3 linked regions of the Astyanax mexicanus genome follow. The protein of the gene in region 1 binds, or shares a complex with, the protein of each later gene. Links are inferred from orthologs where the notes say so. Each region holds a gene or a part of one and is shown on either strand. Other genes may lie near its edges. The genes, in order: acad9, ecsit and ndufaf1.

The links.
Region 2: the proteins of acad9 (region 1) and ecsit are in contact, whole or in part, in a cryo-EM structure (PDB 8PHE), measured with the Homo sapiens proteins. The link is inferred for Astyanax mexicanus from reciprocal best matches to the Homo sapiens genes ACAD9 and ECSIT. Residues at the interface, in NP_054768.2 of Homo sapiens: Leu180, Thr181, Asp188, Ala189, Ala190, Ser191, Ile192, Lys228, Lys239, Asp240, Lys241, Ile242, Phe293, Ala296, Met297, Leu300, Ile431, Met434, Tyr435, Leu438, Thr439, Leu441, Gln442, Gly445, Thr449, Leu516, Gly520, Lys521, Ile523, Met524; in NP_057665.2 of Homo sapiens: Pro321, Glu322, Glu323, Trp324, Asn325, Leu326, Tyr327, Tyr328, Pro329, Met330, Leu332, Asp333, Leu334.
Region 3: acad9 (region 1) and ndufaf1 share a complex: the UniProt entries of both Homo sapiens proteins name them as parts of the mitochondrial complex. The link is inferred for Astyanax mexicanus from reciprocal best matches to the Homo sapiens genes ACAD9 and NDUFAF1.

Annotation. Positions count from the first base shown.
Region 1 is NC_064431.1:33,843,773-33,854,233, reverse strand, and holds the start of acad9 (complex I assembly factor ACAD9, mitochondrial), read right to left. Parts: upstream 4,702-10,461; 5' UTR 4,618-4,701; coding exon 4,450-4,617; intron 3,916-4,449; exon of another isoform or gene 3,911-3,915; coding exon of another isoform or gene 3,893-3,910; intron 3,447-3,892; coding exon 3,353-3,446; intron 3,136-3,352; coding exon 3,034-3,135; intron 1,864-3,033; coding exon 1,757-1,863; intron 1,483-1,756; coding exon 1,382-1,482; intron 1,292-1,381; coding exon 1,213-1,291; intron 563-1,212; coding exon 388-562; intron 1-387. Other genes in the region: poly(rC)-binding protein 2, read left to right, coding at 6,789-6,857, 7,253-7,276, 7,376-7,408, 7,494-7,610, 8,511-8,642, 8,737-8,865, 9,794-9,868. UniProt on the Homo sapiens protein: As part of the MCIA complex, primarily participates in the assembly of the mitochondrial complex I and therefore plays a role in oxidative phosphorylation.
Region 2 is NC_064415.1:31,113,467-31,124,926, forward strand, and holds the start of ecsit (evolutionarily conserved signaling intermediate in Toll pathway, mitochondrial), read right to left. Parts: upstream 5,116-11,460; 5' UTR 4,939-5,115; intron 4,132-4,938; 5' UTR 4,114-4,131; coding exon 3,979-4,113; intron 3,399-3,978; coding exon 2,990-3,398; intron 1,169-2,989; coding exon 945-1,168; intron 824-944; coding exon 766-823; intron 1-765. Other genes in the region: eml3 (echinoderm microtubule-associated protein-like 3), read left to right, coding at 6,378-6,402.
Region 3 is NC_064414.1:7,799,957-7,811,025, forward strand, and holds ndufaf1 (complex I intermediate-associated protein 30, mitochondrial), read right to left. Parts: upstream 4,160-11,069; 5' UTR 3,896-4,159; intron 3,459-3,895; 5' UTR 3,443-3,458; coding exon 2,933-3,442; intron 2,714-2,932; coding exon 2,528-2,713; intron 1,396-2,527; coding exon 1,321-1,395; intron 1,178-1,320; coding exon 1,034-1,177; 3' UTR 879-1,033; downstream 1-878. Other genes in the region: nusap1 (nucleolar and spindle-associated protein 1), read left to right, coding at 259-364, 576-663; RNA polymerase-associated protein RTF1 homolog, read left to right, coding at 5,516-5,599, 9,376-9,486, 9,815-9,965, 10,291-10,495, 10,610-10,727, 10,963-11,069. UniProt on the Homo sapiens protein: As part of the MCIA complex, involved in the assembly of the mitochondrial complex I.

The sequences.
Region 1 (10,461 bases):
TCTATATCGATGCATCGCAATTGAAAAACTTGAGGTTTGTTGCAACATTTATGAAATATTACACAGTTGCATTGTTTAAACAGCAGATGTCACAATCCTTCCAGTGCAGGACAAAGAACCAGTGGGCGTAAGCTAAATATAAAAAATAAAAATAAAGCACACAAGCATTTTTTTTTGTTTATATGATTAAAATAAATAAAAATGAATTTCTTGTTATTCAAAATGTATTTCAAATATTGGGAGTAAATTTAATTGTGAATCCAGAATCGAAATGAATCGTGAGCAGACTGTATCGTTACACCTTTTAAAAATACAAGTAAAGTTAGTAAAGTTATTAAAGTTATTCTAGTGCACTAAATAAATGCATTGTGAAATGTATAAACTCACTGTTTGATCCTCGGATGCCCAGTTTATCCTCCGGTTTGCCGCAGCTCACCCCACCAAACGCCTTTTCTACAATAAAAGCTGTAATTTTGTCTTTCTTCTGCCCGTCCTTATCCACCACCTCTGTTCTGGCGAACACTGTCATAATTTCAGCGATTCCACCATTAGAAATCCATATCTAAAGAGAGAATTACACAGAAATAAAGAATTAACATTCCTCAGAGACTTATCAGAGATACTTCTTCTTATTATTATTATTATTATTATAATAATTTCAGTAAACCTTTATTTTCATGTCAACTGAACTTGTAAAAAGACTAAAAGCTCGGGAATTGCGAACAAATTCTGCTTTAAAACAGTTTTTATAGCTGGAATCAAACTGTAAACCAGCAGAAAACTATAAAAGAAAAGCTTCTAATAAAGTGAGCAGAGAGTGTACAGGGAGTGTCACTTAAATATGATTCAATTTTGAATGAGAAAATTAGCTCAAGTGGTCCAGCCATCTAAAGCGCTGCCACTATGATTGGTTCGAATCCCGGTCATGCAGCTTGCCATCAGCTGCTGGAGCCCCGAGAGAGCACAGTTGTCCTTGCTGTTTCTCTCTGGGTGGGTACAGTACAGTAGATGGCGCTCTCTCTTTCCCCTCATCACTCCTAGGGTGATGTGGATCAGCACAAGGCTGCGTCTGTGAGCTGATGTATCAGAACCACAGAGTCGCTGCGCTTTAGGGGGAGTCCTAATGAGGGGACTGGGTAATTGGCCGAGTAAATTGGGGAAAAAATGGGATAAAAAACTTAGAAATAAAATAAAAATAAATATGATTAGAACCTTTGAGCCGTTGAGCAGGAAGTGTTTCCCATCCTCCGTCAGTTTGGCGCGGCACTGAATAGAAGCAGCATCGCTTCCACTAAAAACAGAAGACACAGGTTTTGTAAAATTCAAGCAGAATACACAGGAATTAGAATAGACGTTCAGTTAAATGTTAAATAAAACACACCTCCCGGGTTCAGTCAGACAGAAAGCTGCTATATGCTCTCCTGAAGCCAGACGGGGTAAATATTTCGCTTTCTGTTCCTCAGTTCCAGCCAACAGGATACCCTAAAACAACAACAGTGCATTAATTGAGACAGTATACGGTTTAATTCTATATAATTCTCCCTATTAGTGGATATACTAATATACATACATATATAGATATATTAGTATTTTTGTCATTTAAAACAGTACAATATCCAATTTATTGTTTAGTATCGGTACTTTAAAAATGAGTGTATTTTAATCATTAATCTTAAAATAAATAAATAAAATAAAAAATACACAGGACAGAAAACTGTCCGAGAGAAGCTTCATAAATCAATAATCTAAAGCTCACCTTTAATCCGATGGACTGATGTGCTGCGAGAGTGACGGTAATAGCTCCATCCATAGAGATAATCTCTCCTAACCGAGCGAACATCGTGTTCGACAGGCCGAGACCTCCTGAGAATCATCAGGGATCATAAACTTTTAACCTATACATTTACAGGATTTTATCATGACTTTTTCATGCCTTCAAGTTCAAATTCTCATGAATATACTATTTTTTAAACCAAAAATCAACTAAAACTATAATTAAAATTAATCTGTCACACAACGTTTAATAATAAAATGTGTGTCAGATCCTGAGAGCTCTATTGTTTAGAGCTAAATTACTGAATTAACTTTGAGCTGATTTGTTTTGTATTTGTAGCTCAAAATAAATTTATTCCTTCAATAAACTAAAGCACATTTTTAGATTTATAGACCAAATTTTCATGACTTTTCCAAAACTTTCTAGTCATTTTAATTTTATAAAACTTATCCAGGCCTGAGAATCACTGCTATTTTCAAATTCCATCACTTATCCAGGTTTTTCATGAGCGTACCATCATTTTGTCATTTAGACAAAAACTTATATTCCTAAACTTTAGTTCTCCTAAAGTACAGATCAAAATCAAACTTTTAAAACTTTTTAAACACAGTACACAATATACAAGTGATCTATCAGATTATGAAGGAACACATTAGGAATCATGTAGTAACTTAAAAACAGTGTTAAACAAACTAAAATACTCTGTGAAGTATTTAGATACTCTTATCTGAGGAGCTGTTTGTTAACGTGTGGTTTCTGAGGCTGGAAACTCTGATAAACTCATCCTGTACAACAGAGGAAACTCTCGCTCTTCTATCCTTTCCTGGGGCGGCCCTGATGAGTGCCAGTTCCATCATTTTTTTAAACTGCACTCAGGGATACTTTTTTGAAAGGTTCTCAAAACCTAAAATATTTTTTATTCTTTTTTAGTTGAGTAGTTGTTTCTTCTCATAACCTGGATTAGAACATTACTGAAATATTCACTATTCACTGTATACCTGTAACTCTACCTCTTCACTACTTTACTTTAACTGATGCTCTCAAACTTTACATTAAGAGATAAGAAATTCAAGTAATTAACTCTTGATGAGTTCAGCACAGCTGTTAACTGAAGGCCTGAATTCCAGGAGACTCTACCTCATAAAACTGACTGAGAAAATGTTTCTGAGGCTGGTAACTCTTGTTCTTTCTTTTCTGTGGCGGTCCTGATGAGTGCCAGTTCCATCATCATAATGTGTTTGATAGTCTTCTGAACTCACCATACTCCTCAGGTATTTGGATCCCGAACAACCCGAGTGCTTTCAGTCCGTCCATCGTTTCAGGAGGGATAAAGGCTTCCTCATCGATCTTCTTTGAATCGACTAATAAAGATATACAGTATTAACAGCAGGACTTCTCAGGGTTTATTTACAGGGATTGAAACTAAGGAAAATGTCATTACAGGACATTACGGTATAATAAATATAATAAAGTACTGTAGTTATCATAACAGTGAAAATATGTCACACAGTGTGTGTCTGTGGGAACAGACAGTAAAGGTCGTAGCTTAAAATATCTAGTAAGAATCTCTTCTCTCACCTTCTTCACTGAAAAACTTCTCCACCGGCGGCACGAACTGATTAATCTCCTGCAGCTCTTCATTACTGATCTCCGGATAGGGAAACACCTCTTTCTACAAGAGCAAACCTTACAGTATTACACGATTTCACTTAAAAAGAGATAAAAAAAATGACATGTGTGTGTTTTATTCAGTCACACCCTCACTAACCTCGACCCCAGCATCAGTATCTGACCTCTGAAACGCTTGATACACGGGCAAAATGTTCTACAGTCATTCTAAACCCTGACTCAGATTACACAGTGCACTGCAGCGTTCCTGAGAGTTACACTGCAACAGCAGCATTCCCAGTGTATATAAGTGCATATAAGGTGTATATACGCGTGTGTATATAGGTGTATATGCAGCGTAAAAAGATGTATACAAGGGAATATAAGGATATATAGGTAAAAATTAGTGTACATAATGAGGTAAAGTACAGTTTTTTAGCGTATTTAAGGTGTATATGAGTGTATATAAGTTGTTTATGAGGGTATATAAGGTGTATACAGTGGGTTTACCTGGTTGACTTTGCCCATGAACAGGTCTTTATCGTAGATACGGATATATAAGTATATACCATGTTTTAATTGGTGTTAATAAGGTATATAAAGTGGGTTTGCCTATTTGACTTTGCCCAGGAACAGGTCTTTAGCATATATAAGGTGTATATGAGAGTATATAAGTGTATATAAGGTGTATATATGGTGTTTATGAGTCTATATAAGGTATATATAGTGGGTTTACCTGGTTGACTTTGCCCAAGAACAGGTCTTTAGTGTATATAAAGTGTATATGAGGGTATATAAGTGTATATAAGGTGTATATAAGGTGTATATAGTGGGTTTACCTGGTTGACTTTGCCCAGGAACAGGTCTTTAGCGTATATAAGGTGTATGTGAGGCTATATAAGGTGTATGTATGGTGTTTCTGAGTGTATATAAGGTATATAAAGTGGGTTTACCTGGTTGACTTTGCCCAAGAACAGGTCTTTAGCGTATAAAAGGTGTATGTGAGGGTATATAAGTTGTATATAAGGTGTTTATTAGTGTATATAAGGTATATAAAGTGGGTTTACCTGGTTGACTTTGCCCAGGAACAGGTCTTTAGCGTAGGCTGCGCTGCTGGGGCTGGTTCTGACGGAGCGCCGGGGCTGTAGAGGAGCTGTTAATCTCGCTGGAGGCGGGAATAAAGATGTAGAGAGTTTTAATGATCTGGAAATCGATAATAATCTGCTAAAATTCATGTTGATAATCCGCTGATCGCCACCGCTCTGCCCGCAGCACCGCCACCCTTCACCCGCTACCCGCGCACAGAGATGACGTCACTGCACTTTAACTCGCTTTAGAGTCAAGCCATAATCAATTACTAATTTTATTACTAAGAAATTATAGATTATAAACAAAAGCACTGAAATGCTGTATCTGTACTCTACTGGAACACAGCCTGCCTGCAGAAATTTAGTTAGCTAATTTTAGAGGGGATTTATTACAGTAAAAATTGCATGCAAGGAAAGAAAAACTATCTAACACATTTTTCAATAAATAAATAGAGTTTTAGAACCAAAATAATAATAATAATAATGATAATAATAATATATTGCAATAAAGACACAAATGTGTATATAAATCTATATAAGGTGTATATAAGTGTATAAAGGGTGTATATAAAGTGTATATAAGGTGTATGTAAGTGTATATAAGGTATATATAGGTGTAAATGAGGGTATATAAAGTGTGTATAGGTGTATATAAGGTATACTACTGTAGTAAACAGCCTTTAATTTACAATAGACAAATGTGTACTACTACTACTACTACTACTAATAATAATAATAATAATAATAATAATAATAATAATAATAATAATGTAAAAAATAAAGCAAAATAAAGCTTCCTCTCGGTGGGCGTGTCCGGGGGCGGGGTCTGGGTGAAGGGTGAAAGTTGAGGGTGTGCTGTTTGTTGTCTTTGTGTGGGACTGGAGCTTCAGCGCACTCTCGGTTCTCCCTGCTCCCCGAGTCCTCTCTAAATCCCCCCCTTCATCCATTACCCTCCTCCCGCTCCTTCCCCTCTACCCTCCGCTCCCTCCGCTCCCCTTTACCCTCTACCCTCCCCCGGCCCGCCGACAGGTAAGCGCTCCGATCACCGCAGCCCGGTTCCTAAACCCGGGGGACACTGCGGGAAACAGCGCGGAGCAGCGCGGCCTGCTAGCGCTGGATAGCATTAAGTAGCATGGCTTATTTAGCTTAGCTAACTCTCCGTTCTGTACTTATGGGGATAGCTAATATAGTTAGCTTAGCCTAGCATTAGCTTGTTAGCTAGCGTTAGCTGGTCCTGAATCCCTCAGCCAGGCCTCAGTAAGAACAGAATTACAAAAATGGGGTTCTAACTAAAGTTTATAATGATATAACTGCTCATAATTGTCTAATTTCATTGCTTTAATTAGTGTTTTAGTTTAGTTATGTGTTTATTTTTTATCAGTTTGGTTAGCTTAGCTTAGCAAACAAGCTGCGTGGCTGTAACGTTAGCTACCTAGCCTAGCTTTAGCCAGTTTCTTATATTAAATAGGGCTGGGTGGTATGATCCTAAAATTATATCACGATATTTCAGTGTATTTTTGCCGTAATGATATTTTAGACTATATGACTAAACATTGAATTAAAAAAAGATAATTCCAAGAATACACGTCAGAATAATATATATAATATAATATATAACATAGGTCAATGATCCAGCATGTAGCTAGCTAACTGAATAGCTAAACAACTAAATAATTCCAAGAATACACTATTGCATCAGAGTAATATAACGTTATATAGTATAATATATAACATAGATCAATTATCCAGCATGTAGCTAGCTAAGTAAATAGTTAACTTTTGTTGCTTGGTATATTTCATATCCATAAATGCAAATTCAGTGTTGGTAAAACAACTGTGCTACTATACTTCATATATGTGACTCCATAGGAATAAAATACTCACTCTAAAGGACCTAAATTGACCTCTTAATCTTTTTTACGGTAATATTTGTTGCCTCTTTACAGGCTTTTTACATGTTTGTATGTTGTGATTAATAATAGTGATAATATTAAAAAATATATTTATTTTTTCAGTTGTCAAAAAGTGCAACGTTCAGTTTATTCAGTTCAGGTTAAGACTAGAAAAAATGGAATAAAATAAATAAACCCTGGAGACCTGCTAGAGGAGGAACATACATAGACACAGAGATGTGTAAATCAAGTTGGTAATGTACTCTTGAGAGGGGTATCCAGTTAACAGTCCAGTAGATTTGACCGAAGCACTTCATGTAATTGTAACCTTTTTCTTTGTATTCGTTTGCTTCAGGTCCAGCTTTGTGACCAAAGACTCCCTTTTCCTATCACATTCAACTCATTAACTCTATATAAGCCATCATAATGGACTCTGGTGTGATTGAAGGAGGACTCAACGTCACGCTGACCATCAGACTACTCATGCACAGCAAGGTAGGCTTCTGTTAATCTGATTTAATTCTTCAACATTGACACCACCATAAAGTATTAGCATTACTTTTATTTTTCTTTTAAGTTCTTCAAGAACCACAGAAACATAATTGTTATGGCTATTTAGAAATTATCTGTAGATAAAGGGTATATTTTATCATAAATTTGAGCAAAAGAATCAGTTAGAAACCTTAATCCTAATTCATTATTTAGAAAAGATGCAGATTGTACAGCATTTATAGTCTACTTTATAGACTAAGCTATTTTGCGTACTAAAAAGTACAAGCTTTAATATTTATATTTGCCTATAACCTTTATTTATGAGGAGTAATCTGTATGTTAATTAATTTAATGTATATAAGCTAAAGTGATTCCTTTAAATTTGTGTGTTTATACAGGAAGTTGGAAGCATAATCGGCAAGGTTGGCACTTTTTTTTGTTAATTTTCCTTAATTTTCCACATTTAAAATACAGATTTTGTATGTGTATCTAAATCTATTTGCGTTTCCTGTTTGAAACAGAAAGGTGAATCTGTGAAGAAAATGAGAGAAGAGGTAATTTTAATGCTGCTGTGGATTTTTTAAGAAATATATATTTATTAATATACTTTTAAAGTAAACAGATTTTGCTCTTTTGCAGAGTGGTGCACGGATCAACATCTCCGAGGGGAACTGTCCAGAGAGAATCATCACTCTAGCAGGACCGACCACTGCCATCTTTAAAGCCTTCTCCATGATCATCGACAAACTCGAGGAGGTACAATTTAACCCTGGAGTCATTTAGGCACTTAAATTGTGCTTTATATGTTAAATATAAAGTAATTTATTACCCCAGCTGACCTCCAGTTTTAACATTAGGGTCCTTCCAGTGAATAACCATGTATGTTATAATTTCATATATATTTATAAAGTATCTTCATACATTTAGTAATACCAGTCTAAATAAAGCATAATTTAGGGTTTTTATGTACAAAAAAAAGAATGAATGACTGATCTCTCCCCAAAAGTTTTGAATATTGGGATATGTTGTTTTTTATAAGCAGTCTTTTAGTAAATTAAATTTTTTTTGCAAATTGCATTTGTGTAGAAATTAAAGGGTTATGAACTACATAAAGGGTTAAAAGCAAAAGCTAAAATCTGTATAAGTTGTCGTATCAACTCACACTTTTTACTCAAGTAATTCAAGTTAAATTCTTGGTAGATATTGATATGTGTCTTATCATTTCTGTCTTATCATTTAATTTTATTATTATGTTTTTTTATTGTTTTTGCTTTTGTTCCCCTACCCCTAAACTCAGTTTTTCTTTTTCTATTTTTTATTTGTTTTATATTGTTTTTTTTATTTTATAATATCTTAATCATATTAAAATGCGGGGTCTATTTCTATTTATTTATTTATTTATTCCCTGTGTATTCACTTCCCCTCAGTTACATTCAATGTACGATTGATTGATTGATTGATTGATACTCATATATTGTGGTAATTACCCATTAGTGTTCTATATGCACCCGAAATTAAGCCAATTTTGCACCAATAGTGAGTCTTATTAACTGCAAAATGCAACCGTACATCCTCCTGTTATCCCTCATTTATTAGCGCAATTACTGTTGTTTTTATTAAACATTTCCAATAATCCGTGATCATCTCTCCTCGCAGGACATCAGCAGCTCCATATCTAACAGCCCGGGCTCCAGCAAACCCCCCGTCACCCTGCGCATCGTCGTGCCGGCCAGCCAGTGCGGATCCCTCATTGGGAAAGGGGGCTGCAAGATTAAAGAAATCAGAGAGGTAGGGAATGTCTGAAACTACTAAATTAAAAATAGAATAGTAAATCTGGTATTTCAGGGTGATGTAATGTCTGATATCTCTGTTTCTCTTAAAGTTAACCGGTGCACAAGTGCAGGTTGCTGGAGACATGCTGCCCAACTCCACAGAGCGAGCCATAACCATCGCCGGAACCATACAGTCCATCATTGAGTGCGTCAAGCAGATCTGTGTAGTGATGCTGGAGGTAGGAGGTTTTGGTTTTGAATTATTCTAGTATTATAATTTTTTTTTTTAAAGGCTAAAATATTTTGTTTTTGGGAAAGTGCATTTGAATTGCTTGATTGAAGAAAAGGTAAATAAATAGTCCCATTTTGAGTTTTGCATTTCTTTTTCTTTTCTCTAAATCTCCTTAAAAACTTAGTTTTCTGAATCAGTTTCTTTGATTTTGCTATTTATAGGTTTATGTTTGAGTAAAATGAACATTGTTTTTATTACATATCTATTTAGAGCATTTATTTGCAGAAAATGAGAAATTCCTGAAAAAATTTCAGAAATAATCAATATTTGGTGGAATAATCCTGGTTTTTAATCACAATTTTAATTTCATGCATCTTGGCATCATGTTCTCCTCCACCAGTCTTACACACTGCTTTTGGATAACTTTATGCTGCTTTACTCCTGGTGTAAAAATTCAAGCAGTTCAGTTTGGTGGTTTGATGGTTTGTGATCATCCATCTTCCTCTTGATTATATTCCAGAGGTTTTAAATTTGGTAAAATCAAAGAAACTCATAATTTTTGAGTGCTCTCTTATACGTTGTATGTTTTTTTTAATTAATTTTATTTATGAATTTATTTGTATTTAAGCATTTCCTTACTTTTTGACACCTTATATAATTAGCTGCACTGTGTGAAGATAAAACAGACACCTTTTTACAAGTGAGCTTTAAAAGCTTTTCTGTTTCTTTTTAGCTCTTATTTAGGAGAAACCTGCAGATTTACTCATTATTCGACCTGCTGTGCTTTTTTTTTCCTTAGAAGAACAGATAGCGTTAAGGATACAGTTAAAGATAAAACTGATCTGGAGAAGCTCTTTGGTTTACAGATTAAAGAGACAGGGCCTTGTTTTTATTTTGCTGTTCCTAAACTCATGCAGGGCACCGTTTCTCTGTAGTCTCCTCCAAAAGGTGTGACCATTCCATACAGACCCAAACCGTCGGGCTCGCCTGTGATCTTCGCTGGAGGACAGGTACATTCAGATCTTCATCCCTCTACTCTTTCTCTACGTTATTACATGGTTTGTACAATCATTAAAAACCGGGTAAAGTCATGGAATTGGGAAAATAGCAATAATTTCCAGGCCTGGATAAGTTTTGGAAAAATAAAAATACCCAGAAAGTTTTGAAAAAGTCATGAAAATTTGCTCTACAAATCTTTGTGTTTCAGTTTATGGATATAGAAAATCTATTTTGAGCTAATAAAAACATAAATCAGCTCATCATTAACTCAGTAATTTAGCCCAAAACAATGGAGATCTCAGGACCTGACACACATTTTATTTTTATTTTATTTTTTATTATATTTTAGAGTAAAATCAAAAGCAGTTACAATTACTTGACAGTGAAAAACAACACTTTCTATGCTCAACATTTTTTTCCCCCACATACAAACTCACAATATAGCAAAATGTAATGAGATAATGAATAAAAATAAAAATACTAGCACAACAAAAATACACACTCACAAAAAAAAAAATAATAATAATAAAAAAATAAAATAATAATAATAATAATAATAATCTGACACATTTTATAATAAATTGTGTCAATATTTTTATCAGAT
Region 2 (11,460 bases), on another chromosome or scaffold:
ATAGGTGAGCATCATACACAATAATATCTGAAAGTTTTTTAAACCTCTATGGAATACTTTAAAAAAATGGGAGTCTCTGTGGATAGATCAAATATACATTTCTATTTTAACTGTAAAATAAAATAAAAAAAATCTTTGGACCTTATATATTTCACCTGTTTTTGCATTTTTGTCATATTTACTACTTTCAGACTTGTCAAACTTTAATATTAGACAAATATAACCGGAGTTAATATAAAAAGCACTTTTTCAATTATATGATTATATTATTAAGGGAAACAAACTATCCAAACTAACAACAAACAACAAACTAGCGCTAAACTAACACAATTTCAGAAAAGGCATATTATATTATACTGAATGTGAAACATGGTGGTGGTAGTGTAATGGTCCGGGGGTGCTTTTCTGCTTCAGGGCCTGGACATCTTGCTGTAATAGATGGAACCAGTGTGCTATATCATATTTTTACTCAATAATTTGTCATATCCTTAAGAATACTGTAATTATTTTAGGGCCATAACGCCCCTCCCACTAGTGAAGAACCTTTTTTAACATTTAAAAGAATGTTACCCTCTCTCTCACTACATATTACAAACAAGGTTTGTCATTGAACCAAAACTGGTGTTTCTATGGCATCATATAAAAGATTTCTAGCAACTTTATTTTAAAGGTGTGTGTAAAAACCTCACTCTTCTGTCTAAAGAAACTTCAGTAAAAATGATGTTTTATCTGTTTAAGAATACAGAGAAATAAAAAAGCGCTTACCTACGATATGTGGCTGGGTGACTTCCTCTCCTGTTTCTGTGACGTCTGTTGATGGATACTTAAAATAGACACACAGTAATAGTAAATTAATAAATATCTGAATAGCACTACATCCTAACTCAACAAAGGATAATAATCAATTTACTATGTACATATCACACATCGAAGAGATACGATACCTGGTAAACTGTAATTTTAGCATCCAGGTCATTAGCAATGCGGGTGAGACTGAAGCGTGCAAGGTCGATGGGGTCTTGCGTGAGCTCAAATGGAACTGGAAACGGGTTTATATGCTTGAATTTGGGAAGCCAGTACATTAGACGCTGATATTTCCTCACAGGGTGGCCCTTTTCTCCAAAGATCTGAACCAAAAGGACCTTTGTTTCCACATTAGGCACGATTCCTGACAGGTTAAAGATAAGCACATATAAATCAACACAGAAAAACAGCAAGATATGCAATTTATGGTTTACTTTTTTCTGAAAAAACATGTTTCATGTTTAGTTTACACAAATACTGTAAACACTATTTTTCATTTAGCTTTGAGCCATGTGAGCATTTTATTATCATCAAACCTGATGGTGTTAAAGCAAAAGGATTTATATGCGATATATATCATGGAAACAATGTTGTGAAAAAACTGAATTTCTTTGAGCTCTGAAACTCATTTGCATGTCCAAACCATTCAGCCTACCACAGTTAGCTCCACCCATTCACACAGCAATTCTTAGGACTAACAGAATTTTTATCTAAGCAATTACTTCAGTAGATTCTGAACACTATTCCTCTGAATTATATTTGTTCAGTTGGTGTTTTGATGGTGGCGAAGAGTGCTGTCTAGTCTAACACATCTGGTCCACAATTTTCCATAGGTGTTAAAATGTGTGGACAACTGGTGACTGAAGCCACAGCATACGAATAACAACATCGTTATACTCGTCGTACCATTGTAATTCCTATCTTAATAGGATACAAATAATAGCTCCATGACTCAAGTAGAATTCCAAAGGCTTATAAATAGGGCTGGGTATAGTCTTAAAATTTGATAGCGATACCGATACTGATAAGGATACTTTGAATTTGATGCCCAAATTCTATGTTTTGATACCTTTTTCTAAATTGTACCTAAAAAATACAAAAATCAATATGATTAATTTTAAACAATGTATTAAATTAACAGCAGACATGAGAAATCTCACTCATACTGACACCAGAAAAGGCTCTTGAGCGAGAGACTGAATGAGCGAGCAAGAGACTATGAGGCAGAGCGGGTGAGCGAGAGACAGAGCGAATGTGCATGAGACAGAACAAGAGAACGAGATACAGAGTAAGTGAGCAAAAGACAGCGCGAGTGAGCGAGAGACGGAAAGACAATAGGACAGACAGAGAGACAGCACGAGTGAGCAAGTTTGTGTGCGACATTTTTTTTTGGCCCTTTCAGTACTCGATAATACCAAAACATTTTGGTCGGTACCTTTTTTGCAATTACATTTGGATATCCAGCCCTAATAATAAAGCTGTTTTCATGTATGTATGGCCCATTGTTCCTTAGTCTGTGGTCTTGTGGTATAGCATCTTACTTATGACATTTAATTTTTTTTTTTTTTCCACTTAAATCATTTAATTTATGTATGCATCATTTTCATCTCGATTTTGTCCCCAATTTTTATTATTGTCAATCCCTACCCACTAACTAAGACATGCCCCTGGGTGACTGCTATGGAATTTATACTTGGATTTAAAGAGTGTATTTTGCCTAAATTGGATTTCTTGCTGATAGGTGTTGAGACAGAGTGGGCTGGTTAGATAAAATAAGCCGTGTGTATCATGTTTGCAGGTGATTCTTAGCATAGCAGGTTAGCCCCTATACTAAGAGTCAAGCTCATCTAGATTAAAGTCACAATGCTAACAGACACAGCAGCATCTTTGCAGCAGTGTTGCAGCGATCATGTTATCTATCCAAAGACAGTGAAGACAATTATGTTTAAATGTGAAGCTTTAGTATTCTAAAACTTAAAGACATATTACCCATTCAGGAGACTATAGAAGTAGATATTTCAATATGTTTCTTTTTTTTTTTTTTGTAACAAAGATTATGTGCTGGTTTGCATTCTGGCCTATTCTTTTTTTTTTAACTGATACCCCCAGCCTAGCAAATTCCATGAGATGTGATTAATAAGTATTAAGTAAGTTTTGGGCCAAAGAAAAGGTAAACACAACCCACCATAATTTTCCATCTGCTCCAGCACCTGCACTGCACACTCCTGCTGCCTGGGATAGTGATTGAACATCCTCTGAATAAAGTTTCGAGGCACAAAAACCTCTTTGGGAAACACATCCAGCAGTTTATTGTAGACAGCAAGGTCCCGCTCTACGCCGAACTCTGGCATTTTCTGTAGAGCAGCATAAATAAACTCGACATGTCCACGGCGCCTGATGTCCTGCTTGTTGAAGACATCAACCACTCTGTTGAAACTGGCTTTATTCTTTGCATCTTTAGCTGTTCTCTCAAACAAGTCATCATGTGTGACCAAAGACTTGGCCTTCGTTTCATTTTCAAATAACTTGCTCAGATCTGAATTGTCCGGCTTGTCCTTGTAAACTGTGGAACCACAATGAATCCATCTTGCCTCCTTAAAACAAAAGAAAAAACAGCACATGTAGAAATACATATTCAAACAAACATATATAGACACCAGCTCTTTCATTTTCTTAAATCTAGTTTATCTAGTCCCAGTTGAGGTAACAATCTCCAACATCCAGGAAAGCACACAAGACATTTTAGAGCACTGCTGTGAAAATATGATTGAATTCTGTGACCAAAAAAAAAAGTTAGTAAAGGTAGAACGTTGGAAGATCACCACCCTGCCTCCTCATCTCCATTTCCCTAACTCATCCAAACAGTACGGAAAAAGGCACAATAATTCCAGAGAACACAATCCTGCTGATCCACAGCTCAATGCCTGGTGAGTTAGCTGGTTAGCAGTCTAGCCCACACCTTGATTAGGCATGGTGCAAACAGTGTATTTGTGTATCTGATCCAGAGAGTCCTGTTCTATTGGGTGCAATTTAAGGCAGCTGAATGCATTCATTAGAAGGAGTGTCCACAAATATTTGGACAAAAAGTGTAGCATCTGTGTAAAAATCCTGCTAATCTGCTAGTTCATGTCGTACTTTTAAACTGTCAACACAAACAGTCAAGTAAATACTTACTTGACCAATGCAGATACGTGGGATTGGGGGCCGCAGGAGAGCCGCATGAAAACAGCTGGGCTTGATAGGTGTCTTGACGAAAAGAGTGATCCACCCAGCATGCTGGGTTCGCATGAGAAATCTAGTGATCTTCATGGTGAGATTTCATTATTTCTGCAAAGATAATTGAATAGAATAGGACTTACTTCACTTAAGTTTACTTCACTTAACAAATATTAATAATCAATAATCAATCATCAATATCGCATACAGTAAAAATGAAACAAATCTGAAAACAAGGCAGTATAATATTTCTATTTTCTATCCCAATTCACGATAATGAAATGTACCTATAAAAACAAAGAAAGAAATCCTTACAGTAGCTAGTTAGGTTTCTAAAATCATTTAATATACAAATGTGAGTTTACATAAACATGGCTTGTAAACGGATTAATCTTGATTAATCTTATCTAACATAAATAGTTACACAGAGTACTGTAGTTATAGAAAATGAACAGCTATAACAATAGTGATACAGCTAACTAGCTAACTAATGCATAAGGAATTATGTAGTATTACATAACACGTATAAAATATTACATTTAACATTAGCAACCTAACTCTTATAGAATTAGGCAATTATAACTAATATACAGCTAAAAATGATGATATAATTTACAGCTGCTCTAATCCACTCATAGCTAGAATAATGTGGTTACAGTTTAAACCAAAGCACTGACATTGCACATGCAGTTAACTGGTATAACTGGGTAACGTTAGATAAACAGCTCCTTTGATTTTACCAAATTGAAAACCTCTGAAGTGGTCTCTTATTTTTTTCAGAGTTGAAGTTATCTGAAGTTAATGTAGTTATTTAATACGGGCAGGTCCGTAACTGACCCTGTGCCGGAGCCGGTAGGTTAACCCGGGTTAACATGGTGTATTAATACAGTGTGTGTGTGTGTGTGTGTGATTATTTACCGTGGTCAGGCTGGTAGATAGTGTCCCGTGGTGCAGTCTGAGTCTGGACTCGGTTTAAAGGCGGTTTAATGGAGCTGTAGCTCTAAATCTCCAGCGGTCACATCTCCTTCACAACACGCCGCCATAACCCAGCTATACTTCGGCTAGGTGTTCCGTCGAGTTGTGCTATCCATCGATACGTGCTTCCTAAACGCACTGCGCATGCGCTAACCTACAGTTATTAATTATTTCTCGTGTAATAAATAAATAATAAAAAAAAATTCTGTTTTTTGTGCATTAAACAACAACGACTCCTTGCCACTGCATAAAAAGTACAAATGGAAATTAATAATAATAAATACAATAATTATTTTTTTTTTAATACAAAAGTAGTTTCTAATGACCTCTCACTGTCACAACTATACAAACTGTACAATAATACAGTGATTTATACTCTCCACAGATTTACATAGACTTCCGCTGAGAACATGCTCTAATAAGGTGCTTCTTTTGCATTTTTAAAGTTAAACATACTACTAGGGTAGCACGGTTTGACAAGGTAGCACAACTCGACTGAACACCGGTCCGTCCTCTGTCCTCACACACTCACAGGAAACATTCACCTTCTGCTTATAGTTCCGCCGCTTTAGTTCCGCACCAGGAAATCACGGAGACCATCCTAAAATAATCACCTAATCAACTTATTTTCAATTTTTTTTTCAGGAAACACAAAACAACACATGAATAGAAACAAAACCTAATTCGTTTTTTTTTTTAATAATATTGATACCAAAAACAGACAAAAGAACATTGTAATATTGGTATTGGTTTAGTGTTTTTCTCTCTGGCGCCCTCTAGGCTGTTGCAGGGCTGTTGCGACCTCATGTCTCCTCTTGTCCTGGCTGTTGTTTGCAGCATCGTCGGCAGGGGACGCAGTGAACTGGCAGTTTTACAGTCAAAACTTTTCTGCTTTTCTTTTTTTTGGTTATTTTCCTGGGCTGAACTGGAGCTGTGGCGCCTCGCTTCAGCGGGAGTTTAGATAAGTGAGTTCTGAGTCTCAGTAATGAGAGGGGGGAATAGTTTGCGTGAACATAGTTAACTGGATTACAGCTTTTATATCTCTTGCATGGATTAAAAAATCCATCCGCACAGTCATAGACACACTCATACTCTCTCTCTCTCTCCTCATCGCGCACTTGCTCGCCTCCGCAGCTGCGCAGCTCATTTCCTGGGTTGGGGAGTTTGGAGTGGTCTTGCATTTCTTCACTTCACGCACACGCACGTGCGCTCCTGTCCACACTGTGTGTGAGTGTGTTTTAAGACTTGAGGACCGCGGATCTTAAACGCCGTACTGATTTTTATATTGGGCAGGAATGGACTGCACTTCTCCCAGCATGAGCTGCTACTTCCGAGAGGTGTGAACAGCAGCGGCGGCGGCGGCGGCAGCGCGCGACTCCGACATGGATGGATCAACAAACAGCCTCGGTGAGTAACTCCCTCCCTCACTCTGTAGCCGCTCTTCAGCTGAGCACCCTGCTCTCAGTCTGTCTCTCAGAGCCGCTGTCACTCCGCTTCACACACACCACACACACTCACCACACACACTGCAGCCGCTGGAGCTGGAGCTGTGTAATATCACAGAGCTGAAATAAATCTAAACCAGTGTTTAGTTGTTCTCCTGCTGAGAGTTTGAAATGACAGTTACGCTTTAGTAGCGCTTTAGTGATTTCACGTTTGAATTCAAACAGAGAACATTCACAGAACGTTTAAAAACGTTTAGAAAAAAAGGTTCTAATGTTCCAGAAACATTCCAAAAACGTCTGACATAATAATTTGCACCACATCGTTATTAGAACGTTTCCCACATGACGTCCCCAGCTGGATGGATACCAACCTTATGGAACGTTTTTTACATAGTTAACGTCCCCAAAACTGAAAGCGACGTTGCAGCGACTTAACCATAACGTTTAAAAGCGACATCCAAAAAACCTGACAGAACGAACGTTTCAAAAACGTTAACTGTAACACTCTAGAGCTGTAGCTGTGTAATATCACAGAGCTGAAATAAATCTAAACCAGTGTTTAGTTGTTCTCCTGCTGAGAATTTGAAATGACAGTTACGCTTTAGTAGCGCTTCAGTGATTTCACGTTTGAATTCAAACAGAGAACGTTCTAAAAACGTTTAGTAACATTTTTAAAGTGTCTAATGTTTAAGAAACCTTCTGAAAACGTTTGCCGCAATAAAGGATCGTAGTTACTGTTTAAGAAGTGGTTTCTTTTTTGAATTCGTTTAGCAACTTTTTGAAAAGGGTCTAATGTTACAGAAACGTTCTGAAAACGTGTGGCATAATAATAGTTTGCATCATTACCTTATGAGAACCTTTTCCACATGACGTTCCCAGCTGGATGGATACCAAGATTATGGAAACATGTATTAGTATTGCTAAAACAAAAAGTGTCATTGCAGCGACATTACCAAAATGTTTAAAAGTGTTAAACAAAAACATTCCGGAATGAACGTTCCAAGAAGATTAACTGTAACATTAAGAAAACGATCCCACTTCAGCCTTTGTCTAACACTCTGTAAGAGAGAACTGGAGCTATAGCTCTGTAAAATCACAGTGATGAAAAGGTCCTAGGATGGTTGAGCCTGTAACGTTACAGAAACAATGTTCCTGGACATTCTGAAAACGTGTGACATGATAATGCATACCAATCATAAAAGTTATAGTTAAGTTACATTCCCAAAACTAAAAATGAAAACTGACACAAGAAATGTTTTAAGAACATTTAGAAAACTTGACAGAACAATTATTCCAAGAATTTTAGAAATGTTTTAAGAACCAAAACTTTTTAGCCAGGAGGGTTGTCATGAAGTGATGCTTATCTAATTTTGTGACTTCTCTGTTTTTTCGCTGTAAATGTCTCCGTTTCACCACGAAAAGGAAGCACTGCGGCTCAGAGTCTCTAGCTGTCATTGTCGTGGCTTGTTGAGCAGATATCTCGGTTGTGAAAGTATCTGGTAACTCACTGCTCTGTGTGTGTGTTTCCAGTTCTGTCTGCTGTGTGCTGGGTCTGTAGAACTTTTAGAAATCAGCTGAATTAATGTGATTACTGTTTGTGGTACTGGTCCTGTCCTGTCTGATGCTGCATTATACTTTATATGAAACTCTAAACTCAGAAAATAGTAAATATTTGCATGTTTCAGTTTGTAAACGGTGGGCGACAGGGAAACTAGTGTGGTAGGTAGAACTAGTATCGTATCGTGAATACGGGTGCCACGGTTTTGTTTGCACCTCGGTTTGGACATCACAGTTTGGTATGAATGGTTTGGACTTCACAGTTCGGTCACAAGTGGCTATTGTTTTATAGGAGTGCAAAATATTTTTTATGGATGTATATTTGCAGAAAGATGTCATTTAGACCCCAGACACATTTACAGAACTTCTAAAATGTTTTTGTCTTTATTTTGTCCTCATGTTATGTCATATTTTGCTTTAATGTTGAGTTTTTTTTAAACTCCAGTGTTGTCATATGGACAAGGAACTGTTACGAAAACACTGAAGTAACCACACATGCATGTTACTGGATGCAGACAGAAATAAACTAAACGAGTTGTCCCCCTGTCACAGGGGGACGTAGGGCCCTCGCACAACAGCGCAAATCGTACCGGGCCAAACCGAGAAACCGGTAAAAGCAATTTTAATGTCTTATTGAGTGTGCCAATTTTCAAGAGTTTTCTATCCTGTTAAATATGTGAAATATCCATTTAAAATACAGGTGGCGCTATGGCGCTGTTAAAATACATGTATTTGAAATTCTAATTCTACATCAAACAACAGCCTTAGATAAGCAGGCCGGTCAAATTTTGTGAGTTTTTCTCCGTTATAACCTCCTCAAAACACCTGGCATTACCTAGGTTTTCACCTCCTGTTTTGATGTGGGATCTCAAAAATTCAACCATCTGCCATTTCGTCCTCGTTTGAAATATCGACTATTCCTTCACAATTTATCATCAGATATGTTCAATGTTTATTTATACCAAATATCAAGAGAATTCATCAAATTTGCTAGGAGTAGTTTGACAATGTACACAAAAAATGTGTGTAAAATGCAGATATTTCAAAATGGCCGACTTCCTGTTGGGCGGAGTCAGTCCTACCAATGCTGAAAATGTGTGTAATGATGTCTTTTGTGTTTTTGCCAAGTTTCATGAATTTTCAATAATCTGTTTTCTGACCGTGTCATGGTTTCACTTTGGTTTAGTGTTGCGTCTCTAGTGACTCAATTGCTCGCCATTGGGTCACCGTTTTACCGATCAACTAATCCTTTGGCAATTATCATCAAATATGTCTGTTGTTCATTTACAGCGAAATAAGAGGTAATCTGACAAAGACTTTAGGAGCAGTTTAAATTAGTTTGTGAAAAATGTGTAAAAATATTACAAATTCCAATATGGCCGACTTCCTGTTGGGCGGAGCTAATACAAGCCAATTGCAAATATGTGCAGGGTCATACTATCTACGATCCTACCAAAATTTGAGAAGATTAGACAAATTTTGACACATCCACAGCTAATTTATTAAACGAACAAATTAGGGGGCGCTGTGGAGTCCGCTAGCTACACATGAAAAAATTATCACAATATTTGTAAAGTGTTTTTAGATCTTATGGAATCTGACAGTTTTCAAGAGTTTTTGAGCATTTCCGTAATGTCAAATATGCATTGAAACCTAGGTGGCGCTATAGAGCCAATGAAATATGTATATATGAAATTTAAATTTTTAATCAAAGGACCGCTTAAATCAAGCAGGCCTGTAAAGTTTCGTGAGTGTTCAACCTGTTTAACCTCCTCAAACACCTACTAACACCAGAATGTATTTACTTCCTATTTTAATGGGGTATCTCAAGCAATTCAACTGTCCGCCATTTCGTCCTCGTTTAAGATATCGACTATTCCTTCGCAATTTATCATCACGGATGGTAGTAGTTTATTGCTGACAAATATCAAGAGTATTCAACAAATTCCCTAGGAGGAGTTCGACAAAGTATGCAAAAAATGTGTGTAAAATGCACGTTTTTCAAAATGGCCGACTTCCTGTTGGGCGGAGTCAATCATATCAACACTGAAAACGTGTGTAATGATGTCTTTTATGTTTTTGCCAAGTTTCATGAATTTCCAAGCAGCTGTATTCTGACCATGCTAATGTTTCTATGTGGTTTAGTGTTGTGTCTGTATTAAATCAACTGCCCGCCATTACGTCATCGTTTCAGCTATCGACTATTCCTTCGCAATTTAGCACCACGTATGTCTGGAGACTATCCACAGACCATTTAGTTGTAATCTGACAAAGACTCTAGGAGGAGTTCGAATGAGTTCGTGAAAAATGTGTAAAAATTTAACATTTTTCATAATGGCCGACTTCCTGTTGGGCGGAGCTAATACATGCCAATGGGTATTATGTGTGGCATCGTAATATCTATGTTTCTACCAAAAATCTTGAACATTGGGGAAAATTTGAGACAGCTACCGCTAATTTATTAGCCTAAACCAAATAGGGGGCGCTGTAGAGTCATTTAGCTCCACATCAGAAAAACGATTACATTTCTCAAAATCATTTAAAGGCATTATTGGGTCTGCTTATTTAGAAGAGGCTAAGAGCTTTCTATAAATGTCATATAAAATAGGTGGCGCTAGAGAGCTGATAAATTATGAATATGAAAAATTCCAATTTTACATCAAAGTACAGCCTATGCCCAATATGCCTGTGAAATTTTATGAGTTTTCGAACATCGTAACCCACCCAAAACACCACGGGAAACTTTTTATTTTGCGACTTCCTGCCAAAATGGCCGACTTCCTGTTAGGCAGAGTCAAATAAATCCAAGTGATTCTTGATCGGTATAATGAGGTCAATGAGCGTACCAAAGTTGGTGCACATTGGACAAACTTTATCCCGGCCACTGGCAACGTTTGGGGGCGCTATAGAGCTCCTGATCAACTCCCAAGCCCAGGAACTGTGAAATTTCAAATTTTTCACCGGCTTTGATGTCTGTGCCAAAATTCAAGAGTTTTCGAGTATCAGAAAGGCCTCAAAAATGGGCGCGAAGTTTAAAAATAAAAATAATAATAATAATAATAATAATAACGAGTTGTCCCCCTGTCACAGGGGGACGTAGGGCCCTCGCACAACAGCGCAAATCGTACCGGGCCAAACCGAGAAACCGGTAAAAGTAATTTTAAGGTCTTATTGATTGTGCCAATTTTCAAGAGTTTTCTATCCTGTTAAACACGTGAAATATCCATTTAAAATACAGGTGGCGCTTTAGCGCTGTTAAAATACATGTATTTGACATTCTAATTCTACATCAAAGAACAGCCTTAGATAAGCAGGCCGGTCAAATTTTGTGAGTTTTTCTCCGTTATAACCTCCTCAAAACACCTGGCATTACCTAGGTTTTGAACTCCTGTTTTGATGTGGCATCTCACAAATTCAACCATCTGCCATTTCGTCCTCGTTTGAGATATCGACTATTCCTTCA
Region 3 (11,069 bases), on another chromosome or scaffold:
TATACAATGTTCATAACTCAGGATCAGCGTAAACTGTACATATGATGCACATAACAAACAGCATGTTGTCATTGACCTGTCTACCGGCGAGTAATCTGGTTCAGAAAAGGTCTTATTTCAGCATATCTGCATCTGCAAAGACTCCATATTTACAATAAATCTTAATACTGTATAACTAGAGGTTCTCAAGATTCTATACGCCCTAGATCTCATCACCATTACAAGGGTTTACTCTAGACTTTTTTTGTATTCCCACAGGAAAGCTGAAGCCTTTTGTTGAAACTAAAGAAAACGCAGCCTTAAACAAGTCCCAGACAATTCCATCCCACCAGAAAAATTATAAACAGCACCAGGTGCCGACAAGGTGAGTAAGTCAGTGCAAGTGTGTTAAAACATTCAGCAAAGACTTATGAGCAGGCTGCTGCTGCCACTAGTGGTAATGGATGAAATTTAGTTTCCATATATTGCACATCTGCACAACACTTTCTGGTGTTTTAATTCTCATTGAGATATTTGTGTAAGAATTCCAGCCAACAGTTTGTTTATCAACTGAATTTTCTCCTTTTCTTATGCAGGGAGGAACGGCGCATTAAGCACACACAGGGCAGGAGGCAAAAGAAGGAAACGCTGCTTGATGCCAGGCGTGGTCTTGTTATGACTTAAGGCTTCAGTTTTTTGTTTTTCTGCTTTCACTCTGGATACATTTTTAACATTGTTTGTCCTTTGTCTTTGTTTAAGAGCTAGTTTTTTTAGATATCCAGCCATTTTCTTAAAAAGTTCTACATCTTTTCTTTTATGTAAATATGCAAGTTGTGGTAAATGAAGATGGTGATAAATGTCAAGGGGTGGGAGGGGAAAAAAAAAAGTATGGTCCGGTGTAAAATCTGCTTTTTATTTGCTATTAAATGATTTGTTTTGTACATTGTCTGCTTTTTAATAGAGTAAACGTGTATTACATTACGTTTCAGTTGAACAGTCCTTATGAATGAATAAATTAAGGTGTTTATTTTGTAGAGAGTCCACCTGCAGCCACCTAGGGGACCTCGGGGTTCCTTTTAAACTTTTCATATGCAAACTCCTCAGTGTGAGCACGGTCAATACACAGAGCAATGAAGTCAATCTCCAACTGAAATGGGCCATCAGCTTTGTCTCCCAGTGTGAAGCCAATATTGTTCACCTGAAAATATGCCCAAAACAATACACAACAGATAGGTGTTAATTTACAGCAATAATGACTATTTACATTCTTAAATTAGCAATATTTTCAAAATGGTATTCTTTTCTACTGTGGCTTTTAGCTGAGGAATTAGTCCAACAAACCTTGTCCAACCAGAGACAGTGCTGGTCATCTTGTATTCTTCCTCGACTTGAGAGAAAAAACTTTGAAAATGGAATCTGATAAAACAAAAGAGCACAAAAACAGTATTAAATTTCCTATAGATGCCTGCTTAACCTGAGAAGGAAATTTTTTCTCCATCACTATATTTTGATAAGTTTTTTGATCATGGGTATTTTTAATGTGAACGAAAGGTGTTGGAAACACCTGGTATTATTGGTGCCAATCCCTGGGGGGGGGAAAAAATAATCACAATATTATGTGACTAAATCCTGGATTAAAAATCATGATAAATATTTGTTTAAATGCTGGCACCCATCTGTATGTTTGGGAATGGGGACCAAAATAATAATGTAGGCACTAGTCCTGTTACAGCTGCATATATGCCCATTGAAAATTGAATTTTTGATTTATATGGAATGTATTTTAATACAATGTAAATATATTAAAGAAGCTTAGTTGGACGTTTGTCTCAATTTCTCTTAAGTCTCTGCACAGATCATCCTCTTACTAGAATACGTACGTCTGCTATGTTCTCGCTTGACTGTGGGCATGATGTGATGTGCAGGTGTGATGGATCGTATAAACCAATAGGGTGTCAGAATGGTATATGTTTATACTTCTCTACATCCATTCACAATCTGATTTACACTATTTGGATGGAGAGATTTATCTGAATAGGATTTTTTTTATATATTTAAATGAAATGAGAGTCACGAAGCTAAAGAAATAAAATATCTGCTAGTCATTACTCCAGTAAAGTATATATAACCAACATTTCTATTTAAGTAAGGTAAGGTATTTGTAGTTGACACCTCTGCTCATAGCTCAGTACTCCCTATAGTGAACTATATTAGACACTAGATCTTAGATTATGATATAATTGTACATAATTTTCTTTAAGAAATATTCCATGCTCTGTTTACATCTAGAATCTGCCATTTTGTGACTTGTATATTACACTACTTACGGAATAATGTGTAATTTGGAATTAAACATGTGTTTTATTATTTAATAGTTTGGATGTCTCTCTTTATAAGGTACTAACACCCCAAACAGGGCTTGCAAGCTTATTCAAACATTATCTGCTCTGTGTAGATAAAGTTGTTTTTTTTTTTTTTAAAGCAAGATGTTTTAATGAAGTGGCTGGTGAGTGTGAGCATCTTCTGTTTTCACTTTTGCTGTACAAACCTTGACTTCCTGCCAGTACGGACCCCCTCGGGTGTACAGGAAGTAACTGTAAATGTCATTTTTGTTGTGGGAGAAATACATCTCTGCTGAAATGTTAATCATCCAAGGTCTCCCATCTCCACGGAAACGAATGTATAGGGTGTTGAATGTGGACCAATCAAAATGCCTCTTCCTGTCAAATGAGAGCTGTAGGGGAATAAGAACACAAATACAAAATCAATATTTAATCAATCTTTTAGATATTGTAAATGTATTATTAAATAACATTGATATTGTGCTACATACAGGCAGTCATCAAAATGCAATGATGTATCTTGATATATCTAATATGACAACATACTTTATTTTTTGTTACATCACCCAACATCCCACCACTCATACAAAACAATGCATCCCATCACTAACCAGGGTCTGTTTGGAGCGCAGTGTGCAGTACCCACTGTAACGTGTCTCCCCGTCTCGAGGTGGAACCGAGCACAGGGTCCCGTACAGCATGCAGGTAGTGTTATTTTTCCCCAGCTTCAGGTATGCTTCACTCTGGCCCCCTATTTCTTTGTCTGAGGACACCACCCACTGATCCAGAGACTCTGGCCCCCGGAACTCCCATTGCACCAGTGTCTGCTCCAGCATATGGTCCAATAAGGGCCGACCCTCAGGCCCCCTCAATCTGCCCACAAACTCATCCTTCAGCAGACCAAAGTGCTTTTGTATACCCTCAACTCCTTTAGAGAAGTCAAAGCGGATCTTCTCCCAGGGCCACCGTTTGTCTGGAGGCTGGCCTGGTCTCTTGTATTCTCCATAGATACTCCTGGTGCTCAGGATGGTTGGATGTGAGAGGCTGGGCTGGAGAAGCTGTCTCCTGAACAGGCCACACACTCCTGCTGGAGTCTGGAGTGTCACCCTGGACACAGCCATGACTGCCAAAGTTTACCTGATGAGCAAACCACAGTCATAATCTTTCAAACACCTTCTAGGAGAAAGAACAAAATAGTTCTTTGGAAAAAATGAAAAAAAAAAAAAGTATGTTTCTAATAAGGGGGAAAAATTATATCAAGATATATTCCTTCATTTAGCTTCAATACATTTGAACACTGCTATTGATATGAAAAATAAAAAAGCCACTGCCTGTGCTGCATGCCAACAGTAGATGACATGGCTTCCTTATATATACACTTTTGGTATCTTTTTTTGTTTCTATTTCCTGTATCTCTCTATCCCCGGACTACATTATCTTTTTTGTTTTGATCTTTGTTTTTTGACAACGTACATTGAATGTAATGAATGTAGGCCTATCGTTATGCAAAAATATTCAATACAACTCTAGTGTATAACTAAGGACTTTACACACATACTTAAGAAGGCACTTACGCAAAATATGTGGAGCCCAGCTTGTTAAATGTAGGTGATGCGGGTCAACACTGACACTCACAGACACGATAGACACACAATCACAAAATCCACCAGCGGCCGGTTTAAAAGATTATACATAAAGTTCGTATTAATCCACAGTACTATTAAACACGCATAGGATGAAATAAATAGGTTAAATTAAATAAACGCTGCATTAGTTCTACACCCTGTGCTCTCTCCTCTAGGCTGCCATTGCGCTCTCCCTCATAAACAGCCCGTACGGAAACACGCTGACGCTGCTCGCGTTCCGAAGTTGCGCAAGTTGCGGAGTTTATAAAATAAAAATTAAAAAAATCTTAAATATAAACTAACACATATCGCCACTGTCCAACGAAAAACAAGTATCACCACTTTTATAAATGTTAAGTTTACTACATGATTTGAACACAGACACGGTCCCTTACACTGTGTCAAAATTTCTTGATGAATGGACCAATAGAAATTCTCCAAAATTACCTGAAATAAACCAATTTTACATTGACTTTCATTGAAAGTTAAATCAGTTTTCTCTTTCTATCTTTTCTATCTGTTAAGTAGCTTTTTTAGATATACATGTTTTTCATTGAATAGTGATAATATACGTCTTCTGTTTAACAAACAGGAATCGCTGTTTCCTATTAAATAATATTTAGGTTTAAGAACAAACATTAACACATTTACCAAACATTACACAGTGAATAAGACCTACAGTACCAGTCAAAAGTCTGCACACACCTCTTTGCATTCAACGTTTTCTAAATTGTAGATTCATATTAAAGACGTGAAAACAATTAAGGGACACGTATTAAATGATATTAGGTAGTAAAAAAAAATGTTTGTCCTTCACAATCCCCTGATCTGAACCTGACATATTCTGGTTTGTTTAACACTTTTTATTTACAGAATAGTTCAGCAGGTGTTCCTGTATAGCTTTAATAATGCCTTGTAAAAATAATAAAAAGAAAAACAACACATTGAATAAAAAGGCATTGTGATCAAAGGAACTATTTATTGGTTTAGTCATTTGTTTATCTATTCCTTATTTTATGTTATTCAATTTATTTCATTATTATTTCCATTTGCAATGTCTGTGTGAATTACACTAACTGCTTGATTCATTTATACAATAATAATAATAATAATAATAATAATAATAATAATAATAATAATAATAATAATAATAATAATAATAATAATAATAATAATACAGACACATTTCTGATGAATTACCAAAAAAGAATTAAAAGAATTATTGGGCTTTATATTCTCTGTTGTTTTGTTGTTTTGCAAATAAATAAAGATATCATAAAACATACAGGTTGGGTGCAGATTAATGTGTAAAATTAGTAATCTTGTATGACTGAACAAGAAGATTTTTATGAAAAAAAAAACATGGAAAATCCCAATAATATTGGAAATAATAAGGTAAAATGTGTGTTATTTAATTATTACACAGAATCTTTTTTTTTTTTTTGACCGCAACTACGTCACCGACGTTCTAATGCGTGCACGCCACCGTGTGTTCGGAGGTCTCGCGGAGAAGCGGCTCGTTCGTGTCAGACAAACAAACGGAGCAGCGGGAGCTTCACGGGCTAAACCATGGTGAACGTGAAGAAGCGGAAAGGTCGGGTGGTCATCGACTCCGACTCGGAGGACAGTGCCAGCGACGACAATCTCGACCAGGTAAGAACCGTAGGTCCATATCCAGCCCGGGTTCTGCCCGGAGCAAGAGAGAACCGAGCTAGCGGCTAACCTGGCTAACCCAGCTAGCTGGAGCTGCGCTAGCGCCGTTAGCGGGGAGCTAAAACCTGGGCCTGCGGAAGGGTTACACCAGAACAGCTTTACCGTCTGTTTACAGACCCGCTTTACTGTAATATCTCCTGTTTTTATTCTCAGTTAGAGGAAAGACGCGGTTTTACACTGGGCTGAAAGGGCTGGCTAGCGAGTTAGCGTGTAGCAGCTAACGCTGGAGGTGTTGAGTAGCGTAGTGATGTAGTTCAGAGGCTGTAAACACCAACGTGGGAAGCTATCCGGTCGAATACTGTTTAATATTACTTACAGAGTTTTTAACACACATTTAATCTATTCATAGTTAAAGTTACTGTATATTATAGGCTATAAATAAACCCCTCATCTTCTCTAAGTCTTTATTTGGCTAGAGTAGCTAGCGTTAGGCTAAGTTAATGTTAGGTCCATTCTATCCATGTGCGGTGTTTGCTTTTTGCATGTAATTTTTCCAAGGCGAATAACATACAGGCAAGTTGTCTCGATATATATGTGTTTGTTTGTGGATTTACTAGATAATAGAATTAGTGGATAAGTTTTAATAAGTTTTCCAACAGTGTCCCTCAGACTGCATTTAGTTCCAGTATGAGCATTCTGCCTATGTTTTCAATCTGAGTTGATCATTTTCAATAGTAAAAGTGCTCCCTCTTTAACCAGAAAGCTTTTCGAACTGATAAACATTTGCGTTTTATGCTTATTTCAGTGATGTCTGCAGTGTGTAACACACATTTAAGTCTGTAATCAAAGAATTGCAGGTTATAATCAACCCCAGCAGTCTCTGGGAGTAAATGAGGTCAAATCTGCTTGTGTGTGAAAATCTCAGGTTTATCATTTAAGCATACACACTCACTCTAAAAAATCTTTTTAACGAGAAAGCCTTTGCTCCCTGGCTTTGAGCTTTTTTGTTGTTGTTGTTGTTGTTGTTTTGTTGTAAACTAATTTTATCATGGATTATTGCATGTGATTTTTCTAAGGCGAATAACAAAACACACAGGAAAGTTAGGTATATGTGTGTGTATGTGGATTTACTAGATAATAGTTAGTGGATAAGTTGTAACCGGTTGCTCAACAGTCTCTTTCAGACCTCATTCAGTTCTGATATGAGCATTCTGCCCCTATTTAAACCCTGAGTTGATGGTTTAAATAGTCAAAAATTCTCCCTCTGTAACCAAAAAGCTTTTCGAAACTGATACAGTTGTGTTTTTCTAATTTCAGTGATGTGTAGTGTGTGTGTGTAACCCATTTACTTTCTCTAGTTGAATAATAATAACAATAGGTAATAATCAAACCCAACACTAAATGATATGAAATGAGGTCAGTTCTCATGAAAATCGCAGGTCATCATTTAAGCATACTCACTCACTCAAAACCGGCTTCTAGCTTTGTGTTGTGTTGTTGTGAGCTAATTTTATCCTGGCAGTTGAGATGGAGCAGAGCCGCAATCACTGCCATAAGTACCAGTGGATTAGCCAAAGTCTTTCTAATAAACCAGGAGTGGATTGACCCCTGTGCTGTGATCATCACTATCACTTTCATCGCCTACATACATATATATATATAACAGTGGTTTAGATCTACAACATAACCTTAACTTAACTTAAGTTGCAATAATTGAGTGTTTGCGCTGATTCCTGCGGAAACAGTGTCAACACTTCTTCTGGTGAGAATCGACACTAGATTGCTTTAGGGGTTTGATTTTGGTCAGCCACAGGAGAGCATTAGTGTGGTCAGGCACTGATGCTGGATGATGCATCTTGGTGTGCTCTCCAGCAGTTATTTACACTGATTATATATATATATATATATATATATATATATATATATATATATATATATATATATATATATATATATATATACATACACTGCTCAAAAAAATAAAGGGAACACTCAAATAACACATCCTAGATCTGAATGAATGAAATATTCTCATTGAATACTTTGTTCTGTACAAAGTTGAATGTGCTGACAACAAAATCACACAAAAATCATTAATGGAAATCAAATTTATTAACCAATGGAGGCCTGGATTTGGAGCCACACACAAAATTAAAGTGAAAAAACACACTACAGGCTGATCCAACTTTAATGTAATGTCCTTAAAACAAGTCAAAATGAGGCTCAGTATTGTGTGTGGCCTCCACGTGCCTGTATGACCTCCCTACAACGCCTGGGCATGCTCCTGATGAGGTGGCGGATGGTCTCCTGAGGGATCTCCTCCCAGACCTGGACTAAAGCATCCGCCAACTCCTGGACAGTCTGTGGTGCAACGTGACGTTGGTGGATGGAGCGAGACATGATGTCCCAGATGTGCTCAATTGGATTCAGGTCTGGGGAACGGGCGGGCCAGTCCATAGCTTCAATGCCTTCATCTTGCAGGAACTGCTGACACACTCTAGCCACATGAGGTCTAGCATTGTCCTGCATTAGGAGGAACCCAGGGCCAACCACACCAGCATATGGTCTCACAAGGGGTCTGAGGATCTCATCTCGGTACCTAATGGCAGTCAGGCTACCTCTGGTGAGCACATGGAGGGCTGTGCGGCCCTCCAAAGAAATGCCACCCCACACCATTACTGACCCACTGCCAAACCGGTCATGCTGAAGGATGTTGCAGGCAGCAGACCGCTCTCCACGGCGTCTCCAGACTCTGTCACGTCTGTCATGTGCTCAGTGTGAACCTGCTTTCATCTGTGAAGAGCACAAGGCGCCAGTGGCGAATTTGCCAATCCTGGTGTTCTCTGGCAAATGCCAAGCGTCCTGCACGGTGTTGGGCTGTGAGCACAACCCCCATCTGTGGACGTCGGGCCCTCATACCATCCTCATGGAGTCGGTTTCTAACCGTTTGTGCAGACACATGCACATTTGTGGCCTGCTGGAGGTCATTTTGCAGGGCTCTGGCAGTGCTCCTCCTGTTCCTTCTTGCACAAAGGCGGAGGTAGCGGTCCTGCTGCTGGGTTGTTGCCCTCCTACGGCCTCCTCCACGTCTCCTGGTGTACTGGCCTGTCCCCTGGTAGCGCCTCCAGCCTCTGGACACTACGCTGACAGACACAGCAAACCTTCTTGCCACAGCTCGCATTGATGTGCCATCCTGGATGAGCTGCACTACCTGAGCCACTTGTGTGGGTTGTAGAGTCCGTCTCATGCTACCACGAGTGTGAAAGCACCACCAACATTCAAAACTGACCAAAACATCAGCCAGACAGCATAGGTTCTGAGAAGTGGTCTGTGGTCCCCACCTGCAGAACCACTCCTTTATTGAGTGTGTCTTGCTAATTGCCAATAATTTCCACCTGTTGTCTATTCCATTTGCACAACAGCAGGTGAAATTGATTGTCAATCAGTGTTGCTTCCTAAGTGGACAGTTTAATTTCACAGAAGTTTGATTTACTTGGAGTTATATTGTGTTATTTGAGTGTTCCCTTTATTTTTTTGAGCAGTGTATCTAATTTTTTGCAAGTAAATTCCCCAGATGACAATTTTATTTGAAAGTTGCAAGAAATGTTGTCAGTAGTTTATAGAATAAATAATATTAAGTCCATTCATCACAGAGGTATAAAAATAAATATGTTAAACTAAATTACTTTATTTTGAATTATGACATATTTAAGCTTGTGATTTCCAAAAAGTAAAAAGCAGTGCAAGAAATTGTCTTCTGTACTGTTGTCTTCTAGGAGCTTTTGTCCCTGGCTAAAAGAAAGAGGGTAGACTCAGAAGAACAGGAGGAACCTGTCAGTAAACCAGCAGCATCTTCAGACTCTGAAACCTCTGACAGTGGAGATGAGGTAAAGTAGCATCAATCATGTTTGTTCTTGGTTTATTTTACTTAATTTTTGTACTTGTAATTTACTTTATTTTAATTTAAGTGAGCTACAAATTAAATCAAAAGGACCTTTGCTTTGTTAGTTTATTTGTTTGTGGTCATATTATAGATCTTTGTAGATCATTATTTTCTGCCTATTCTAAAAAATGCTTCCATTTAATTGAAATTACTAATAGTATGTGCCGTTTATTGGGTTTAAATCATTGAGAAATGTAACAACTGTAGTTGCGATTTAAATGCAATTCATTGTGCAGCTCTAATGTTTCAGTGGTCTTTGTGTTGTATATTAGTGGACTGTTGGAGGCACTAAAGCTAAAAAGAAGGTGAAGCCCGGTAAAGGAGCAGAAAAGAAGAATGCCACAAAAAAGAGGCTCAACAAGGCAGCTTCGTCAGGCAGCTCAGATGGAGACAGCTCAATGGAGAGTTCAGCACCAGAGGAGGGTAAGTGAGAAACACACTACATTCAGATTAGCAACAAAAATCTATCCAAACTTCTTAAATATACATATATATATAGATAATAAACGTTTTTTCTGACCTTGTATGTATATTTGTTGTGTTGTTAAATAATGATAATAAATGTAATGTATGTTATATAATGGTATGTTGTATGTTCCTTAAACAATTACAGCATTAGTACAGAGAAAGTTTAGTTTATTAAAAATGCTGCATATCAATCATTTAGAAACTAGAACCTTGAAAGTGTTGAAAATGTAAACACTTGCAAATTAGCAAAAAAATTGCTAATGTTTTCTGATCCACACAGGTGAGGTGTCTGACTCTGAGAGCAACAGCTCCTCTTCAAGCTCTGATTCAGACTCGTCTTCAGAGGATGAAGTGTTCAGGGACGGGTACGGAGATGATCTCATGGGAGATGAAGAGGACCGGGCACGTTTGGAACAGATGACTGAGAAAGAAAGAGAGCAGGAGCTCTTTAATCGTATTGAGAAGAGAGAGGTGCTCAAACGGAGGTGAGGAGATGCTCTAGTTTCTGAACATATGAGACTCACTTTGACGGGGTGAAATGATGAACTGCATGAAGGAAAGAATAAATAATATTCTGTTGTCCCCTCTCTGCCACACAGGTTTGAAATCAAGCAGAAACTGAAGACTGCGAAAAAGAAGGAAAAGGAAGAGAAGAAGAAGAAACAGGAGGAGGAGCAGGAGAAGAAAAAGCAGTCTCAGGTCACAGACACTCAGGTGGTGAGTAAAACATCCTGACTAGTGCTAAGAGTGTAACTCATGCTGAAGTGCAGCATGTTTTAAGCAGGGTTTCCATTTAGATTGTGTTCTACATATTTGAAGGTTTTTTGAAAAGTCTGTTGATGATATCTGTCAAATCACGTTTTTTTTTAACAGTAGTTATTGGCCATATTGAAGGGCAGGAAGTAAGAAGTCTGGCTTGAGATAATTTCTTTTGATTTAACAATTTGTGTAGGTGATGTCCCATAATAAAGAGAGACGATCCAAGAGAGATGAGAAGCTGGACAAGAAATCCCAGGCAATGGAGGAGCTTAAAGCAGAGCGTGAAAAGAAGAAAAACAG